Linked DNA regions of Callithrix jacchus. Each later gene encodes a partner of the first gene's protein in a complex. Links are inferred from orthologs where the notes say so. Each region holds a gene or a part of one and is shown in the gene's direction. Other genes may lie near its edges.

The links. Proteins that work in one complex are often made in the same cells at the same time.
Region 2: B9D2 (region 1) and TMEM107 share a complex: the UniProt entries of both Homo sapiens proteins name them as parts of the tectonic-like complex. The link is inferred for Callithrix jacchus from reciprocal best matches to the Homo sapiens genes B9D2 and TMEM107.
Region 3: B9D2 (region 1) and TMEM67 share a complex: the UniProt entries of both Homo sapiens proteins name them as parts of the tectonic-like complex. The link is inferred for Callithrix jacchus from reciprocal best matches to the Homo sapiens genes B9D2 and TMEM67.
Region 4: B9D2 (region 1) and CEP290 share a complex: the UniProt entries of both Homo sapiens proteins name them as parts of the tectonic-like complex. The link is inferred for Callithrix jacchus from reciprocal best matches to the Homo sapiens genes B9D2 and CEP290.

Annotation. Positions count from the first base shown.
Region 1 is NC_133523.1:36,633,654-36,638,125, reverse strand, and holds the end of B9D2 (B9 domain-containing protein 2), read left to right. Parts: intron 1-3,476; coding exon 3,477-3,790; 3' UTR 3,791-4,071; downstream 4,072-4,472. UniProt on the Homo sapiens protein: Component of the tectonic-like complex, a complex localized at the transition zone of primary cilia and acting as a barrier that prevents diffusion of transmembrane proteins between the cilia and plasma membranes.
Region 2 is NC_133506.1:74,651,997-74,657,117, reverse strand, and holds TMEM107 (transmembrane protein 107), read left to right. Parts: upstream 1-1,580; 5' UTR 1,581-1,705; coding exon 1,706-1,792; intron 1,793-1,968; coding exon 1,969-2,036; intron 2,037-2,136; coding exon 2,137-2,237; intron 2,238-3,658; coding exon 3,659-3,755; intron 3,756-3,976; coding exon 3,977-4,046; 3' UTR 4,047-4,221; downstream 4,222-5,121. UniProt on the Homo sapiens protein: Plays a role in cilia formation and embryonic patterning. Requires for normal Sonic hedgehog (Shh) signaling in the neural tube and acts in combination with GLI2 and GLI3 to pattern ventral and intermediate neuronal cell types.
Region 3 is NC_133517.1:33,426,328-33,431,262, reverse strand, and holds the start of TMEM67 (meckelin), read left to right. Parts: upstream 1-1,394; 5' UTR 1,395-1,413; coding exon 1,414-1,636; intron 1,637-4,935. UniProt on the Homo sapiens protein: Required for ciliary structure and function. Part of the tectonic-like complex which is required for tissue-specific ciliogenesis and may regulate ciliary membrane composition.
Region 4 is NC_133510.1:93,049,067-93,054,084, forward strand, and holds the start of CEP290 (centrosomal protein of 290 kDa), read left to right. Parts: upstream 1-1,477; 5' UTR 1,478-1,668; intron 1,669-2,228; 5' UTR 2,229-2,255; coding exon 2,256-2,357; intron 2,358-2,508; coding exon 2,509-2,586; intron 2,587-3,963; coding exon 3,964-4,033; intron 4,034-4,332; coding exon 4,333-4,379; intron 4,380-5,018. UniProt on the Homo sapiens protein: Involved in early and late steps in cilia formation. Its association with CCP110 is required for inhibition of primary cilia formation by CCP110.

The DNA of each region.
Region 1 (4,472 bases):
AAGTGCTGGGATTACAGGCATGAGCCACCATGCCTGGCTAAGATTTCACCTTTTTTTTTTTTTTTTTTTTTTGAGACGGAGTTTCACTGTTGTTACCCAGACTGGAGTGCAATGGCACGATCTCGGCTCACCGCAACCTCCACCTTCTGGGTTCAGGAAATTCTCCTGCCTCAGCCTCCCGAGTAGCTGGGATTACAGGCACGCGCCACCATGCCCAGCTAATTTTTTTTTTTTTTTTTTTTTTTTTGAGACGGAGTTTCGCTTTTGTTACCCAGGCTGGAGTGCAATGGCGCGATCTCGGCTCACCGCAACCTCCGCCTCCTGGGTTCAGGCAATTCTCCTGCCTCAGCCTCCCGAGTAGCTGGGATTACAGGCACGCGCCACCATGCCCAGCTAATTTTTTGTATTTTAGTAGAGACGGGGTTTCACCATGTTGACCAGGTTGGTCTCGATCTCTCGACCTCGTGATCCACCCGCCTCGGCCTCCCAAAGTGCTGGGATTACAGACGTGAACTACCGCGCTCGGCCCCAAGATTTCACTTTTTGTCTTTGAGATGCAGTTTGACTTTTGTTGCCCAGACTGGAGTGCTCTCGGCCCACTGCAACCTCTACCTCTCAGGTTCAAGTGATTCTCCTGCCTTAGCCTCCCCAGTAGCTGGGATCACAGGCATGTGCCACCACTCCCAGCTAATTTTGTATTTTTAGAAGAGTCGGGCTTTCTCCATGTTGGTCAGGCTGGTCTCAAACTCCCAACCTCAGGTGATCCACCTGCCTCAGCCTTTCAAAGTGCTGGGATTATAGGCGTGAGCCACTGGGCCTGGCCGAGATTTCACCTTTTTAAAAAAAAAAAAAATTATTTATTTATTTATTTATTTATAGAGTTGGGGTTTCACTATGTTGGCCAGGCTGCTCTCAAACTCTTGACCTCGTGATCTACCCACCTTGGCCTCCCAAAGTGCTGGGATTACAGGTGTGAGCCACTGAGCCTGGCCTGAGATTTCACTTTTAAATAATCTTTCTGTCCTTTAAGCTGGAGCTGGGGAAAAAAAAAATCTTTCTGGGTGCTGTGTGGGTGAGGTGGGAAGCTCTAACCTTTCATCTCTTGGGGACCCTACTCCCCCAGTGGTGGCACCAGCCTTGCTTTCTCTTTACTCAAGCCTCCATCAGGAAATCTTACTGCCTCTACTCTTGAAATACATCTTACATCCCACTTCTCACCTCTTTTCTTGCCCTGCACCTTGATCTGTCCAAGTTCATCTCTCACCTGGGCTATGACAGCAACCTCGCCTCGGGGCCCCCTTCTCTAACCCCCTCGTCTGCACCCCACATGCAGCTGGGACCCTGTGAACACGTAAGTCAGGTCCCATCTCTGCTCAGACCATCCCCTAGTCCCCCTTTCACTCAGGGTAAAAGCCAAAGTCGGCCGGGTGTGGCAGCTAATGCCTTTAGTTCCAGCATTTTGGGAGGCTGGAGCCGGTGGATCACCAGAGGTCAGGAGATCAAGACCAGCCTGTGCAACATGGTGAAACCCTGTCTCAATAAAAAATAAATAAATAAAATTTAAAAAGAAGAAAAAAAAAGCCAAAGTCTTACCATGCATCCCAAGGCTCTGAACAGCCTGGCTGGCACCTCCATCCCTTCTCCCCACCTCGTTCTGCTCTGGCTGTGCTGTCCCCACCAGCTGCATTCCATCGGGGCTCCAGCCATACCATCCCCACCAGACACTCCCCCTTCAGGGCCTTGACACAAGCTGTTGCCTCTGGCTGGGAGCACTCTTCCTCTAGATATCCACACGGCCTACTCCCTTCCTTCCTTTTTTTTTGAGATGGAGTCTTGCCCAGGCTGGAGTGCAGTGGTGCGTGATCTTGGCTCAGTGCAACCTCCGCCTCCCAGGTTCAAGTGATTCCCCGGCCTCAGCCTCCCGAGTAGCTGGGACTGCAGGCGCGCACCACCACGTCTGACTGATTTTTGTATTTTTAGTAGAGACGGCGTTCATCATGTTGGTCAGGCTGGTCTTGAACTCCTGACCTCATGAGCTACCCGCCTCGGTCTCCCAAAGTGCTAGGATTACAAGCGTGAGCCATCACTCCCAGCCTGCATCCCTTCCTTTTAGCATTTGCTCAAATGCCACCTTCTTAGTGAAGCTTCCTTGGTCCGCTCCTTGCTAAGGCAGCATCCCCACCCTCGCCCTAACCAACTCTGTTTTTCTCTACACCAATTACCACCAACTGATTTACCCCTGGAATTTGCTTATTTACTACATTGGTTGTCTAGGATATCAGCTTCACAGGGGCAGGAATTTTTGTCTGCCATCCATGTTCATGTTCGCCATGTCCCCTACTAGCTAGAACGGGGCCTAGCACAGGGGAAGGGGCTCAGCATGACATGAGATGGGGGCTGGATCTCCAAGAGCTTTGACTACCAGACTGAGGAGCTGAACTGTGTTCTGAGGACATGGGCAGAGCTATGGAAGGAGAGAAAGATGCTTCCAGAGGCCAGGAGTGGTAGCTTGTGCCTGTAATCCCAGCACTTTGGGAGGCCGAGGCGGGCGGACCATGCAGTCAAGAGATTGAGACCATCCTGACCAACATGGTGAAACCCTATCTCTATAAAAATACAAAAATTGGCTGGCGTGCGGGTGCACACCTGTAATCCCAGCTACTTGGGAGACTGAGACAGGAGAATTGCTTGAACCGGGGAGTTGGAGGTTGCAGTGAGCCAAGATCACACCATTGCACTTCAGCCTGGTTACAGAACAAGACTCCATCTCAAAAAAAGAAAAAAGAAGAAAAGAAAGATGCTTTCATATGCCAGGTGGAAGGTGGATTAGAGAAGGGCAAGAAAGGCCGGGCACCATGGCTCACGCCTGTAATCCCAACACTTTGGGAGGCCAAGGCGGGCAGATCACCTGAGGTCAGGAGTTTGAAACCAGCCTGGCCAACATGGAGAAATCCTATCTCTACTTAAAAAAAAAAAAAAAAAAGAGAGAGAGAAAGGCAAGAAAGAAGGCAAGGCCCTGGGCCCAAAGAGAACAGGGCAGGGACTTGGGGAGGGAAGGCAGGAGGCGTCCCTGACAAGGCCCACGATGGTGACCTGGGGACTGGAAGAGCAATGGGCTGCCCTAACATGGGGTCACGGAGGAGGCGACCACAGAGAGGAAAGTCAACAGAGGCCTGATGAGAAGGGTCTTGAATGTCAAGAAGCTTGAGCTTTGTACCAAGGGCACTGGGGAGCTATGGAAGGATCTTGAGCAGGGTGAGTAACATCGATTTGTAAAGATCTGTTTGGCCTTTGTGTGAGGGTAGATGAGAGGGTGGGAGCCTAAAAAGGAGGCTGGGTTGGAAACCCTAGGACAGAAACCCAGAGAGGAAGGGACTGGCCCTGGGGTGCCCAGTGGGCATTGAGGAGGAGGGAATCAGGGGCAGGAGGCTGGTCCCCACCCATCCCTTCTGTCCCCTCTCCCTCCTTTCCTACAGGCTGGCCCCGGCTCCATTTCCAGGTGTGGTCCCAGGACAGCTTTGGCCGCTGCCAGCTTGCAGGCTATGGATTTTGCCATGTGCCCAGCAGCCCAGGCACCCACCAGCTGGCCTGTCCCACATGGCGGCCCCTTGGCAGTTGGCGGGAACAGCTGGCACGGGCTTTTGTGGGTGGAGGGCCGCAGCTGCTGCATGGGGACACCATCTACAGTGGTGCCGACCGCTATCGCCTGCACACAGCTGCTGGTGGCACCGTGCACCTGGAGATCAGCCTGCTGCTGCGCCACTTCGACCGCTACGGCGTTGAGTGCTGAGGGACCCTGCCTCCAACGCCGCCACCATCACCTGCACTCCTGGATTCCCCGTGAAGGGCAGGATGGCACAGGGGTCAAGAGCATGGACTCTGGAGACCATCAGAGCTGACCCCAGCTAAGATATAGCTCTGCTTCTGTCCTTTCAAGGACCTCTGGCTCACTCTGGACCCAGTTTCTGTATCTGTAAGTTGGGGACAGTAAATGTGTAGGGTCGCAGGATGTTGGGTCAAGAGGCTGCTTGGCACAAGGGAGGTGTTCAGTAAAGGAGAACAATTCTTACAGGTGTCTGCCTCCTGACTCCTCCATTTCTCTGGTGTCCTGTTGTTCCTCCTCCCACTGACACCCTTCCCAGGCCCCCACCGTGACAGACCCTCTTCCCCAGCCTGTGCCTCAGCCTCACACTCTTCCCATTCTGGGTCACCCTCTCCCAGTTGGCTGCCCTGTGTCTCATCCCCCGGATTAAGCCTTCTGCGCCTGGTCCTCTTTCTCTGGTGACCCATACCGCCCGGCAAAACCACAGCGCATCTGGAGCACCCGCTTTGGTGGCGCTTGGCCGCCAGGAGGCAGCACCCTGTTTGTGGGGCGGAGCCGGGGTGCCCGCCCCTTTCCCCCCAGGGCTGAAGGGACCCCCCTCGGAGCCGGCCCACGCGAGATGAAGACGGTGGCCCAGCCCCCCCCATGC
Region 2 (5,121 bases), on another chromosome or scaffold:
GGGTTCACCATGTTGCCCAAGCTAGTCTCGAATTCCAGACCTTGTGCTCCTCCCGACTTGGCCTTCCAAAGTGCTGGGATTACAGGTGTGAGCCACTGCACCCGGCCTGTTCTTTTTTTTTTTTTTTTTTTGAGACAGAGTCTCGCTCTGTCGCCCAGGCTGGAGTGCAGTGGCGCGATCTCGCCTCACTGCAACCTCCACCTCCAGGATTCAAGAAATTCTCCTGCCTCAGCCTCCCGAGTAGCTGGAATTACAGGTGCTCGCCATCATGCCCAGCTAATTTTTATATTTTTAGTAGAGACCGGTTTTCACCATGTTGATCAGGCTGGTCTAGAACTCCTGACCTCAGGTGATCTGCCCGCCTTGGCCTCCTAAAGTGCTGGGATTACGGCCATGAGCTACTGCGCCAAATTTTCTAAAATAAAGTTTAAGAACAAATGCCCCATTCTTTTTATAGAATTATAATTGTAGCGTTTCCCTTTTCATAGCATATAGTATCTTGCGGATTTGTTTGCATGTCTATTATTGATCTCCCTGACTAGAATCCACCTACTAGGTAATCAGTAAATACAAACAATATTTGAAGAAATGAGAAATGCCTCTTGGGCATATATTTAGACTGGCTAAAGGCACTGAGACGGGGAGTGAGGAAGAGGAAGCGGTTGTTCTCCGGGGAAATGAGCCGGGAGGACCCTTGAGAATGGGACTTGACAGCATTGCGAGAAGAAAGAGCTTTCCGATCAGCGGGGACCTGCGCTGAAACCCAAAGGTCATGAGGTTGCCGATGATAAGAGCTTCTTGGACTGTAGCTGGGTAATGTCGGAGGCCCAGCACCTCCAAGAGATAAAGAAATCTGATTTGAGTTTCCGTTCCAGTCAGCTCCAAGCCTCCCAGGGATGCAGGGACTGTCCATTCCCTCCATCCACTCCCACCCTTTCCGGTCCCCTTGCTCTGCCATTTTTTGCACTCTGCAAATCCCTCACCAAACTGAGCAAAGTTAGACTGAGAGAAATCAGTCTTCCTCAAGGAAAGTTCAGGCCTGGGGTCCTCAGACATCCAGGGGCTCCGTGACAATCTGTGACTGCTGAGCAGTCTAGGGACACCGCCTCTCCAAGTTCGGGACCCTTGTTTCTGAGGCCAGCTTGGTGGGAAGCTAAAGGCATACGGAGGAGGGGAAGGGGAGCGTGTCTGAGTCTTCGGCATGGCGGGGACCCGGACCTCAGCCCGGCATGGCGGTGGCGCGGCCTCAGGAGATCCACAATTGTCGGTGTAGAAGGGGCTGGGGGCCGCTCCCGGCAACTGCGGAAGCCGAGGTGCCCCCAGGCTAGCCCAGGTCGGTTTCCGTTCGTCGGTCCTGGGCGGGTAGATCGGGCGCTGCGGGGCCGTGCCACCTCGCACCCTCTCAGGAACAAAGGGCTTGGCTACGCGCGGATACCCAAACGTTGGGTTAGAATGGCATTCGGGGAAGCCCTGACCTGCGCAAGCCGGAAGAGGCCAGCAGCAGCTTGAGAATATACTGCTCTCGCGATGTTTTTCGAGAACGCGGCGCCGCGTTCGCGTACGGAGTTACCAAGGTAACTGGGCGGTGCCTGAGCGGGCGGGAAGGAGGCGTTCGTCTAGATTTTGTCCGCTTGCAGGGAGACTTCAGGAGTCGCTCTCTTTGAAATTCCGGCCTCTGAGACCGCCGCCCCTGTTTCCAAGGGCCATGGGCCGGGTCTCAGGGCTCGTACCTTCTCGCTTCCTGACGCTCCTGGCGCATCTGGTGGTCGTCATCACCTTATTCTGGTCCCGGGTAAGACCCACGGCTGACATCCGTCCGCCCCTATTCCCACCTCGGAGTGGTCCCAGCCCCATCTTGCCCCTCTCCCAGTGTCTTACCCACTTAGGTCTTCTCGTTCCCCGCCGCCCCCAGGCCTGCCTCGCCGCCCGTCCCTTTTTCACTTCTCTTCCTCTCTGCTCTGCTCCCAGGACAGCAACATCCAGGCCTGCCTGCCTCTCAGGTTCACCCCCGAGGAGTATGAAAAGCAGGACATTCAGTGAGCTCTCTCGGAATGGGCTGGTCAGAACGGAGAGGTGGTGGGAGTGGAGGGTTCTTAGAAGTCCAAGGGCCTGAGGCTGTCCACTTCCTTTCTGCAGGCTGGTGGCCGCGCTCTCTGTCACTCTGGGCCTCTTTGCAGTGGAGCTGGCCGGTTTCCTTCTAGGAGTCTCCATGTTCAACAGCACCCAGAGCCTCATCTGTATCCTTTCCTCCTGCTCACCTTTCCCACACGACCATTTCCATCAGGACTCCCTTCAGCCACCTGACACCATAGTGTCTGCTGTAACCAATCTCTCCAGTTCGGATATCTTCAAACATGTGCTAAATCCTGCTGTTTACTAGGCACTTAAAATCCCAAAATGAGAGTAAAACAGTTTTCGGCCAGGCACGTTGACTCATGTCTGTATTCCCAGCAGTGTGGGAGGCCCAGGCAGGAGGATTGCTTGAGGCATCATAGTGAGACCCTATGTCTACAAAAATAATAGTAATAATGAGAACTTCACCTTTTTTGTTTATCATGAGGAGGAGGCAGACACATATCTGTAATTCAGTGATAAGCAGGGTGCTATAGGAGTGTGTAAAGAGGGGTGGGCGCGGTGGCTCACGCCTTTATTTCAAGCAACTTTGGGAGGCCAGGACAGGTGGATCATTTGAAGTCATGAGTTTGAGACCAGCCTGACCAACATGGTGAAACACCATTCTCTACTAAAAATACAAAAATTAGCCGGGCGTGGTGACGGCACACCTGTAACCCCAGCTACTCAGGAGGCTGAGGCAGGAAAATTGCTTGAACCTGGGAGGCAGAAGTTGCAGTGAGCCGAGGTTGAGCCACTGCACTCTAGCCTGGGCAACAGAGTGAGACTCCGTCAAAAAACAAACAAGCGGGACACGGTGGCTCAAGCCTGTAATCCCAGCACTTTGGGAGGCCGAGGCAGGTGGATCACGAGGTCAAGAGATTGAGACCATCCTGGCCAACATGGTGAAACCCCGTCTCTACTAAAAATTCAAAAATTAGCTGGGCGTGGTGGCGTGTGCCTGTAGTCCCAGCTACTCAGGAGGCTGAGGCAGGAGAATTGCTTGAACCCGGGAGGCGGAGGTTGCAGTGAGCCGAGATTGTGCCACTGCACTCCAGCCTGGTGCCTGGTGACAAAGTGAGACTCTGTCTCAAACAAACAAACAAACAAACAAACAAACAAAAGGTAGAAAGCACAATGGGAACTCAGAAATGGCAAAGGAAATGAAGCACGTGGGTCAGAGAACTGTGAACCAGGAGTGCTAGAACCCTGGAGGCTGATTCCAGCAGAGCATATCAATTCGCTGTCAGCACTCCTGTGTGGCATGGTAGGAGAGCCTACTCTTACCTCTCATCTGAAGGGTCCAAGCTGGCCTCTAGATGTGGGGTAGGCTAGCCTGAGGTCCCATCTATGCAGTTACTTCTGGTCTCTCCTCATATGACCATCCTACAATTCAGAAGTCAGGGCTGCTGACTCTAGCCCTTGCAATATGGTGAGGGAGCAAGCGATGAACCTGAGTGCAGATGCCAACCCCACCACTGATGTTTTCTGATCCATCACTATCTGTCGATCCAAAGACTTTCCTTAACTGTGGTGCCTTCCCAAGCCATTGGGGCTCACTGTAGTGCATCCGTGGCCCTGTCCTTCTTCATATTTGAGCGTTGGGAGTGCACTACGTATTGGTACATTTTTTTCTTCTGCAGGTGTGGTAACACCCAATATTTGGGGATGAGGGAGGAAGGTTTACCCTAAATCTGAAAGTTTTCCCCCACCCGGTCCCTTCTTCCATGCATGAGATCCTGTAGTCTTTTTCATCCCCCATCCCCATGCCACCTGCCCTATACTTTCAGGGGTGGGGTCTCTAGTTTGGAGATTTGCATATTTATATTGAAAGGATTTCTGAATCTACCACCTGCTTCGGTAGTGCCCTTCCAGCTGTCACTGAAATGGCTTTATTCATCGCCATCTTTGGGCTGAAAAAGAAACCTTTCTGATCACCTTCCTGATGGTCGAAGGCTACATGGGAGGCCGCTTCGTATTCCTGGAAGAAGAAAGGCATAGGCTTCAGTCTTCCCCTTGGAAACTGCTTCTGCTAGAGGATATGTGTTGGATGTATGGGATTATCAGCATTGTATTTAGTGTTTTGTAATAAAATATGTTTTGTAGTAAGATCAAGAGTTATATAGTTTTCAGGGGACAATTGGGATGGCTTAACTATTGAAGAAAAAAACAACTACGCTGTTTTCTAGTCCTGCAGACCGTAAGATACTTGATATCGCTTCTATTTTGGTTATTACGGTAGACGTCTGGGGGAAGGAAGTGGGCGGGGATATGTAAATAAAAGTGCATACAGTTAGAACGTCCAGCACGTAAATGATTGGAGCATTCTGGGAAGAAATAATTTATTCCTTTTCTCAGCTGAATGAAAAAAATTATTTTAAAAGAGATGAAAGCAAATATAGCAATACAATTGGAAGGATGTTAAATAGCAAGGTGGCTCGTACCGACGCGTTGTATACTCACCCTAGCTTTTAACGGAATCTCTTTCACTGAGTCCGGAATATCCGCCGTTTATTAAGATATCGTCAGGTGGGATAATCCTTACCTGTTCCTCTTCGGAGGACAGATAAAACATGATGATTGGAGGTGCATGAAACGTGATTAACGTCTCTGCGTAATCGGGACTTACAACACCCTGGTTACTCCTATCTGAATTCTCCTGACGATCTTTTTTTTTTTTCGTTGTTTCGTGTTAAATATTAGAACTAAAATAACTCTTGGAGTGTTGTGGCTAGCGGTTTTTTGATTGTTGTGTGGTGTCGCTCAGGTTTGTCTGTTCTTGAAAATTGTGATGTGGCTCTCTGTTATTAAGAAATTTCTTTCTGGAATTAAGGAGTTTCGGTAATACAAAACGGACTTCTATTTTTCTTTATCCTTTGACGCTTACCTCGTCTTAGGAAACACTGCACATTGCTAACCGTAATGTTGTGCATACATGGGTGATTTCCCTTAGGATGTGCAAAAGCAATACTTAAGAGAAACTGTTTTGCTTGCTTGCTTTCCTCTCCT
Region 3 (4,935 bases), on another chromosome or scaffold:
GGTCTCTACTTCTAACAGTTTCCATATATTTGTCCAGGATTTTTCTTTTTTGCGTGTGACTGTGTCTCTCTTTGACATCCATGCTGGAGTACAGTGGCACAATCACAGCTCATTGCAGCCTTGACCTCCTGAGCTTAAATGGTTCTCCCGCCTCAGCCAGCCAAGTAGCTGGGACCGTAGCCATGTGCCACCCAACCAGCTAATTAAAATAAATTGCATTTGCAGAGATGGAATCTCACTATGTTGCCCAGGTTGGTCTTGAATTCCTGGACTCAGACAATCCTTCCACAGTGGACTCCCAAATGTTAGTATTAGGGGCATGAGCCACAGCACCAGGCTTAGATTATTTTATTCACAAGAGATGTAAAGATTATTTCAATTTATATACAAGTCAACTAAAGAAAAAATAAGGCTTTTAAAGACTCAAAGTTAGTTTTTTTCAGAGTCTTACTGAGGAATGCCACCCTGGAGAGTCTTTCAAAGAGTTTATGTTAGACTGCTCCAGAGCAGCGTTTCTGCCCACAGTTTTTATATCAAGGGGTGGAGTTCTGGATGCGCTCAAAAGTTACATTAAACATGCTCAGAAGTTACATTGGAGCAAAATCTCATCAAAGTTTTGGTTGGAGAGTACATCTGGTTATAGATTACAGAGACATAATCAAAATCATTAATCCTGTCAGTCGTTATCTTATGTACAGGAAGAGGCAAGGGCCAGGATCACTGAACGTATCTTTTTTAAAAAAATGAAGTGATTCAAGCAACAGATGTGGAAACCTGTGCTCTATTCTACTTATTGTCTGTAGGGCATTCTTCTGGAGGACTTCGTTCAGTCACTGAGTCAAGGGCTTTGTGAAATTCCGCTGGCAACAGAATGAGTAAACAGTTTTCTTCCGCTTCGTACTTTGTCTCACATACATGATTTCCTGTGCTCAAACCTGGCAGGAAAGATTTTTTTAAAAATTTTCAATCTTTTCTCTATAGTAATCCTTCACTGGGTTTTAAGTCAGTGTGTTGTTATTTTTTGTTATTATTTTTTTTTTTTTGACGGACTGTCAAATTGTTAAACAAGTTTCCTTTAAGGTTAAAATCACCTAGTCTGAATAAATTCTGATGTAAATATAATTCAATAAATTATGATATTTTCAATTTATGATGGATTTATTGCGGGGAGGCGGTAACCCTGTCGTAAGTCGAGGAGCTCTGCACAAGTTCAAAAATACCGTTGGGCTTTAGCCGGCCTTTAACCCATTCTTTACTGGACTTGTCAACTTCCGTCAGGATTGGTAACCTAGCAACCAAGCAGCACCAGCAGAGACTTCCGGTACCCAAACTTGGGTTATCCAATCAGCTTAGCGGAGTTACCGCAGAGGCTGATGGGACGCTGGAGCCTGGGCGGCTGCTAGCGTCGGTACCATGGCTACGCGCGGTGGGGTTGGGGTGGCAATGGCGGCTTGGTCCCTTTTATCTGCCCGAGCCGTGACTGCGTTCCTTCTGTTGTTACTCCCTCGCATCTTACAGGCCCAGACCTTCTCTCTCCCTTTCCAGCAGCCGGAAAATTGCGATAACAACCAGTACTTTGATATCTCCGCGCTCTCCTGTGTTCCGTGTGGAGCTAACCAGAGGCAGGATGCCCGAGGTAAGACGGCTTGAAGTGGGCCCTGGCAAAAGTAACACTTCCGCCTTGGTCTGCCCCTAGTCTCTGGAGTCATTCAAACACCTTTTCGTCTGCAGTAGAAATGTATCAGAAAAGTTAACCGCGGAAGTCTCAGAAGAGGGTTTTCTGGAAGGATTGCAGTTTGCACACGAATGAAGTGGGAGATTCTGAGTCGGCTACCCAATGAACCGTTGCCTGTAGTTCGTTTCTCGGTGCCAGTCCCCGACTCCTCATACGGGGGTCTTCAGGGCGACACCCGGAATGCTGTTTACCGAAGATAGAGAAGAACTAGTAGAGAAGTAATCTGAGGTAAACGGGAGCAGGTGACAGGAAAGATTAGGGAGGAAGAACAAACTAGCACTTGTGAACCTCAATAGCCCTACATCATTTTTTTCCTTTCTTTGTTTCTTTTTTTTTTTTGGACGGAGTCTCGCTGTGTCACCCAGGCTGGAGTGCAATAGTGCGATATCGGCTCACTGCCACTTCCACCTCCCGGGTTCAAGCGATTTTCTTGCCTCAACCTCCTGAGTAGTATGTATGTATGTATGTATATACAGGCGTCCGCCATCACGCCCGGCTAATTTTTTATTTTATTATTTTATTTTATTAGAGACAGGATTTCACCATGTTGGTCATGCTGGTCTCAAACTCCTGCCCTTGTGATCTGCCCATCCCAAAGTGCTAGGATTACAGGCATGAGCCACTGCACCCGGTCAGCCCTACATTTTTCTTTTCAAATCCCAGACGTTTAGAACTGGAAAGGACCTTAATCATAATCAGATCCAGTCTTCTCATTTTACGGATAAGGACATTCAGGCCCAGATGGGGACTGAAAGAATAAATATCCCTGCTCTCAGTCTTGACCTATGTGTTTTCACGATTCCTCCCTCCCTCCTTCCTTTCCTTTCTCAGTCTTGGCCTGTGTGTTTTCACTATACTGTTTGTTTCTTTCTCTCTCTCTCTCTCTCTCTCTCTCATCTCTCTCTCTCTCTGCCTGTGTGTTTTCACCATACCCTCCCTTCCTCCCTCCCTCCCTCTCTCTCTCTCTTTCTTTTCTTTCTTTGTCTTTCTTTCATTTCTCTTTATTTTCTTTTATTTTAGTTTCTTCTCTGACAAAGTCTGGCTCTGTCACCCAGGTAGAGTGCCCTGGCTCAATCTTGGCTCACAGCAGCCTCTACCTCCTGGCCTCAAGCCATCCTCCTCCCACCTCAACCTCCCAAATAGCTGGGATTACAGGACCTCACCAGTTTTTTTGTAGAGATGGGGTTTTTGCCATGTTGAGGCTGGTCTCAAACTTGTGAGTTCAAATGATCATCCACCTTGGCCTCCCAAAGTGCTGGGATTAAAAGAGTGAGCCACTGAGCCTGACCCATACTATGCTGTATGCCTCTAATACAGATTTCCTTAGGACTTGTCCTTTTTATCATAGAATATTACTCATTATTCTTAAGGTCTCTTTAGATTAAATCTATTTTTTATACCTAAAACATCATTTGTTCCTAGTTCTCACTGAAACTGCTCAGAATGTCTTTTCCCATATTCTAAAGTCTAAGATGTTTTCTTTTCTTTTCTTTTTTGAGACGGAGTTTTGCTCTTGTTACCCAGGCTGGAGTGCAATGGCATGATCTCAGCTCACCGCAACCTCCGCCTCCTGGGTTCAGGCAATTCTCCTGCCTCAGCCTCCTGAATAGCGGGAATTACAGGCACGTGCCACCATGCCCAGCTAATTTTTTGTATTTTTAGTAGAGACGGGGTTTCACCTTGTTGACCAGGATGATCTTGATCTCTTGACCTCGTGATCCACCGGCCTTGCCCTCCTAAAGTGCTGGGATTACAGGCTTGAGCCACCGCACCCGGCAAAGATGTTAAGATGTTTTCTATCTCAATTTGGTCACCCATGTTATTAACTTTCTGGCATGTTCAGCTTTGACATATCCTCATTTAAGTTCTCGAACAGGTCAGGCTACACATGTATGGCAATATGAATGAGAAAGCATTTCAGAAGTTAAAATGTAAGATATTTTTTCATATTTATGAATATGGAAAGGTATAGTTCCATATCTATGAATCCAGATATGGTATGTATTATACTACATAGACTCCTATGAGTGCTGCTTCTACCTAATGACTCCTTAGAGAATGCTGTCCTTATCTATACTGCAAATTGAATAGTGATTATCTTACTATGTTTACTATCTATCTTAACAGAGAGAAACAGTGATTTATTTGAATGAAGGCAACTTCCCTAATAAGGAAAGTAATTAAGAAAATGAGTTTTCTTCTCATTTTACAGATAAAGACATTGAAGCCCAGATTGGGAACTGGAAACATTCATATTTGTTTGCTCTCAGTGTTGACCTATATGTTTTTACTATACTGTATATTTCTTTTTTTTATTTTATTTTAATTAATTAATTTATTTATTTATTTGAGACGGTGTTTCACTCTTGTTACCCAGGCTGGAGTGCAATGGCGTGATCTCGGCTCACCGCAACCTCTGCCTCCTGGGTTCAGGCAATTCTCCTGCCTCAGCCTCCTGAGTAGCTGGGATTACAGGCATGCGCCACCATGCCCAGCTAATTTTTTGCATTTTTAGTAGATATGGGGTTTCACCATGTTGACCAGGATGGTCTCGATCTCTTGACCTCGTGATCCACCCACCTCGGCCTCCCAAAGTGCTGGGATTACAGGTGTGAGCCACCGCACCCGGCCCCTATTTCTTTCTTTTGTTTTGAGAGGGAGTCTTGCTTTGTTGCCAGGCTGGATGCAGTGGCCCAGTCTCGGCTCACTGCAACCTCTGTCTCCCAGGTTCAAGTGATTCTCTTGCCTCAGCTTCCGGACTAGCTGTGATTACAGGCGTGCACCACCATGCACAACTAATTTTTGTATTTTTAGTAGAGACAAGGTTTCACTATATTGGCCAGAGTGGTGTTATTTTTAGTAGAGACAGGGTTTCACCATGTTGGCCAGGATAGTCTTGATCTCATCACCTCGTGATCCACCCACCTAGGCCTCCCAAAGTGCTGGGATTACAGGCATGAGCCACTATGCCTGGCTGTATGTGTGTATGTATGTATGATTTCCTTCCTTCCTTCCTTCCTTCCTTCCTTCCTTCCTTCCTTCCTTCCTTCCTTCCTTCCTCTCTCTCTTTCTTCTTTCTTTCTCTCACTTTCTTCCTTCCTCTCTCCCTCCCTCCCTCCCTTTCTGAGACAGAGTTTTGCCCTTGTTGCCCAGGCTGGAGAGCAATGGTGTGATCTTGGGTCACTGCAACCTCTGCCTCA
Region 4 (5,018 bases), on another chromosome or scaffold:
ATAAAAATAGCATGATTGATGAACAAGCAATTTACAAATACTCGTTTCCCAGAATGTATGAGGAGGTAGTAAGAAGTTAAGAATATGTCCTCCAGCCAGAGAGATCTGTGTTCAATCACGTTATTTAAGTTAGACTACTCAGTTTCTTAGACGGAAAATGAGGACAATGTAAGCACCTATTTTACTGCATTGTAATGAAGAATAAACAAGATTATGAATAGTATTTGGCTATAATCTTTCCGAAAAGTAGTAAAATTGTTCCTATAAATCTGTCTTTAAAATTTATCTCACGAAACCAGTAATTTTTTACTTTGTGCTGAGTTACTTATTTTACTCAAATTGGTGGTTTAAAAAGAAACTCATTACTTATTTTCAAAAGGAAAATTTAGTCAAGTATAGTATTTTTTTTTTTAAGCAGCGTTTAAAATAAAGGTATAGTCCAGATCGTTGGAAATGTCATTTAGATTTAAGTCTACAGCTTCTTAGGAAAGTTAGCTAGAAGTGTATCATACTCCAGCATGGCTGTGAGCAGAGGAATGAGCAAAACTTGCACGAGCAAGAGTGGAAAACACCAGAGAAGGCGCTTTCATGGACGGGCACCCTAGGTAACCAAGCAAGTGAAAACAGTACAGGTGAGTCCTTGGCTCCCTTCTCTCTCCACCCCGGCAGTGGCCCGGACAAGTACTAACCTCTCCACTCTGGAGCCTTCACTTCATACTAGCTCCACAACCTTCAAGCCCCACCATCCACCAAGGGAACTGTACTACAGGTAAGGCAGGCGGGGTCAGAAGATGCCATAATCTCTTGTTAACTCTTCGCTCGCCCCTAAACAGGATCACAGCGGCGTGGCTCTCACTCTAACTACCAAGACAGATTCTGATACCAAACAAGGTTAAAACTTTTTTTCCCCCTTCTTATAGAAGGCTCTGGACGCCGCTTGCAAACGGCTGAAGAGAAGGCGGAGAGTTCCCACTTTTTCAGAATGGGGCCAGGCCCTACGGCCCCAATAGCAGATGCTTCTCTAACCCGGGACTGCTCCCCTCAACTCCTCCCTTTCCGCGGACCGACAGCTCGACTATACCTGGGAGGGGTTCCGCCAGGGGATGGCTTAGGAAAACCTCAGGAAGAGCGGCCCAGCGACTGACGCCACTGAAGCCACAGTCATGGTCTACCTCGTTCAGGCCACCAGCTTCTAAGCGCCTCAGCCGCTGGGCCTCCCGCCTCCCGGTCCTTCTCCGCCGCCCGGGTACCGTCGCAGCCTTACGCATTGCATGCCGGGAGCGCCTTACCTCCTCTCAGAGACTTCAGTTCCCAGCTTGCACAAGCCTCAGGCAGAACTGCAGTCTGGGATTTGCAGTCCTCGTTCCATGCCTTCTCAGCGACCTGAACACCGACTCCTGGGACTCCGACGGAGAATCTAAACGTAAAGTATCACTCATGGTCGTGAACTGTAGGCTCTCCTTGCATCCGGGGCCTTATTCTGGCCTTGGCGGAGTAGGGGTTGGTGTCGCCTAGCAGCAGCTGCCGCTTTGGCTTACTTGGGAACCTTTGGCGGGACACAGAGTCCGCGTGGAACTGCGATAGGGATCTCTGTCAGGGTCTGCGGCCGGGTCCAGCCTGGTGGTTGCGATAGTGAGGGACCTCCGCTGGTTGTCAGGCTTGGTCTAGGTGGGTGGATCCTTGTAAGCAGGGGCAGCGAGTCGCTCCAAGCTCAGGTTCTTTAGCCTCCGGGCCCCTGTGCCACAGCGTAGCTACCCCGCCCCTTCCAGTCTCGGGTCCACAATCCTTCTGCCTTGCTTCGGTTCCTGTGTCTCCCGTACAACTTAACTCATTGCAATTGTTAATGTTCGCATTTTTTTTAGCCCCAATTCTGCTTCTCCGTTGTCAGGCTTCCACAGACCCTTGCCCTTGGCACGATTAGGGTGTTCGAGCGCGTTGAGGGTAGGGAGTGTGGAGGAGGGGATCCAGAATTTTAGTCCTAACTTAGATTAGTTTTAGCAAGGAAGCCGTCACATTTTATTTAGCCGGTAAACTCTCTGACAGTTGGTGCCGACTGCTATAATTTTGACCAAGGCTATTTTGCCCACTTGTCTGTGTTGAGGCTAAGGCATAGCTCTTTGCTAACATCAGAAAGTTGTAATGACATAATCTGCAAAAAATGTAAACTACTAGAACACCAAAAATGCTGTGTACCTTGAAAATGCTAATTTCCACCTGTTTTGTTACAGAGGTGGAGCAAAGTGAAAGAATTCAAGATGCCACCTAATATAAACTGGAAAGAAATAATGAAAGTTGATCCAGATGATTTGCCCCGTCAAGAAGAACTGGCAGATAATTTATTGATTTCCTTATCTAAGGTGTATAATTGATCAATAATAATATATATATATTAACTTATGATTAGTTTATTAATCAAGTATTTTTTGCTGTGACAACTGTAGCCACAATCTGGAAGAGCTCGTATATTTTGTTATAAAATATAAAACATTTGCTTTTCTGTTTATTTAGGTGGAAGTAAATGAGCTAAACAATGAAAAACAAGAAAATGTGATACACCTTTTCAGAATTACTCAGTCACTAATGAAGGTTTGTATATAGTCGGTTTTGATGGTAGGTTTGGCTATTAGAGGAACCATAAAAATCTTTTCTTCTATAAGGTAATCTTTGTGAAAATACTTGATAATATCTACATCACCATTCAAAAATGCAATATATTTAAATGTGGCTTAAGAATTGTAGTGTGTAAAACGTTGCTAGTTTTTACTTAAAGTTTCTAAAAGGGTGTGTAGGGGAAACAGAATGAGTATATTGAAAAATTATATAGGGAGATATATCCTGAGGTCCAAATGACAAATGCAGACAATGGCTGTCTATAGGGATTTGTTAAGAGGGGAAGTGATTTAAGAGGTGTTGGAAAACTTTGCAAAGGATGAAGACTGAGGAGTAGTTTTAGTTAAGTGGAAGGCAATGCAGTGGTAAGATAGTAAGGGAATTCTAGAGCTGTTGGTTACCATAAGTAAATATTGAGAATAGGAAATATGCATATTCTTTACGTTTGAGAAGACAAGGTGCAGCAAGTTTGTAGCAGGCTGTAGAGAAAACAAATCTTGGGTAGGTACTTTGATAGAGACTGTTGAGGGCCTTAAAGATATAGTTTATGCTACCAGCAATTGAGAAGGCAATAAAGGTTTCTGAACCACAGTTGATAGGTACAAAAATATGCCTTAGGAAGGCAAAACAATATATAATATATGACAAATAGAAGGATTACTGGAGCTATATAGACATCACATTATAGAGGAGTTTAAACATGAAATTATGTGTTAGAATAATAACAATTGGAACAGAAAAAAAGTAGTGAAAAAAATTACAAAGGGAGATGTTGTATTACTGGATGTAAGACTTAAGACTTGAGGTAAAAGGGAGAATCAAAAATATTTCATGCTATTAAAAATAGAAATTATAATCTTAAGTAAGAAAGTAAGAAAGTTGCCTGGATTACTGCCTCACGTCCGTAATCCCAGCACTTTGGGTTGCTAAGGCAGGAGAATTGCTTGAGCCTAGGAGTTTGAGACTGGCCTGCATAATACGGCGAATAATACAGTGAGACTTTGTCTCTACGAAAAAATTTAAAGTCTTGCTGATCATGGTGGTATGCACCTGTAGTCCCAGCTACTCAGGAGACTGAAGTGGGAAGTTTGCTTGAGCCTAGGAGGCAGAGGTTGCAGTGAGCTGAGATTGTGTCGCTGCACTCCAGCCTGGGTGACAAAGTGAGGCCCTGTCTCAAAAAAAAAAAAAAAAAAAAAGAAAGAAAAATTATGTATTTATTTAACAAATATTTACTGAAAATCGCCATGTGCCCCCCATTGCTGACACTAAGAATCATAATAAATACAATTTTTGTTTTCAGTGCTTACATTCTAGTACAAAGGCATATTGAAATAACCTTTTTTTAATGTTTAGATGAAAGCTCAAGAAGTAGAGCTGGCTTTGGAAGAAGTAGAAAAAGCTGGAGAAGAACAAGCAAAATTTGGTAAGCAACTTGGAAAAAAGTTTATGGTATTAAATAATAAATTCCATGTGTTCATTAAGCTGTAGAAAATCAAATTTATTCTATAAGATGTATATAGTTTATTTTTAATATATAACATTTACTTAATAATAAGCAATTCTAGACTCCTATTTTATGGATCTGCCATATAATTCTTTTTGATACCTTATAGTCATGATGGAGTCTTTTAAAAGAATTAATTTTGTTATTTAAATTTATTTAAAAGTTTGTTTTGTGGTAGCTAATGTATGAAAACATTTGTCTTTTTTTTTAAAAAACAGAAAATCAATTAAAAACTAAAGTAATGAAACTGGAAAATGAACTGGAGGTATGTCTTTTTGTATTTCCTAGAATGTAATTGTCATAAATTTTATTTTGCATTGTTTTCAAATTTTAAAATTATTATTGGCTGGAAAAGTTATAAGGATGATAGTAATCATGGTTATTTGCTTTTTCAGTATATATTCTCGGATTGAGCATACAGTTGTGAATGAAATTAAAACAGTTAACTGCTATATGGAGCTTGCAGTCTTGGGAAATACATAGAAAGCTTACTAGTAACTGAGGTGGAGCGTGGGTGGGGAGTTGGGGAATAATGACCAAAGGGTTTTATAGAAGTAATTTTTTACAAAGCTGAGGGCTAAAGTATGAATGTATTGTTGAGGAACTAAATTCAGATTCCTGAAAAGGTAGGGATGGATCAGCTTTTGAAACGGATCAGCCTTTGAAAGAAGGAATACCCTTTTCCTTGTGTTAGGAGAGAAGGAAGAGTAGATGAGGGGAGGAACAGTAGATGTATGTAGAAGCCTTTATGTTTGTAGGCATAGTGCCTGGAAGTTGAGAGGTCAGTGATGATGTCATCTGTTAGAAAGAGTGGGAGATGGTGTGGTCACATTTTAAGAAAATCAGATAAAATTTGAAATGTAATGGAGAAAAGACTGGAGAGTTGGGGATCTGGAGTCAGACA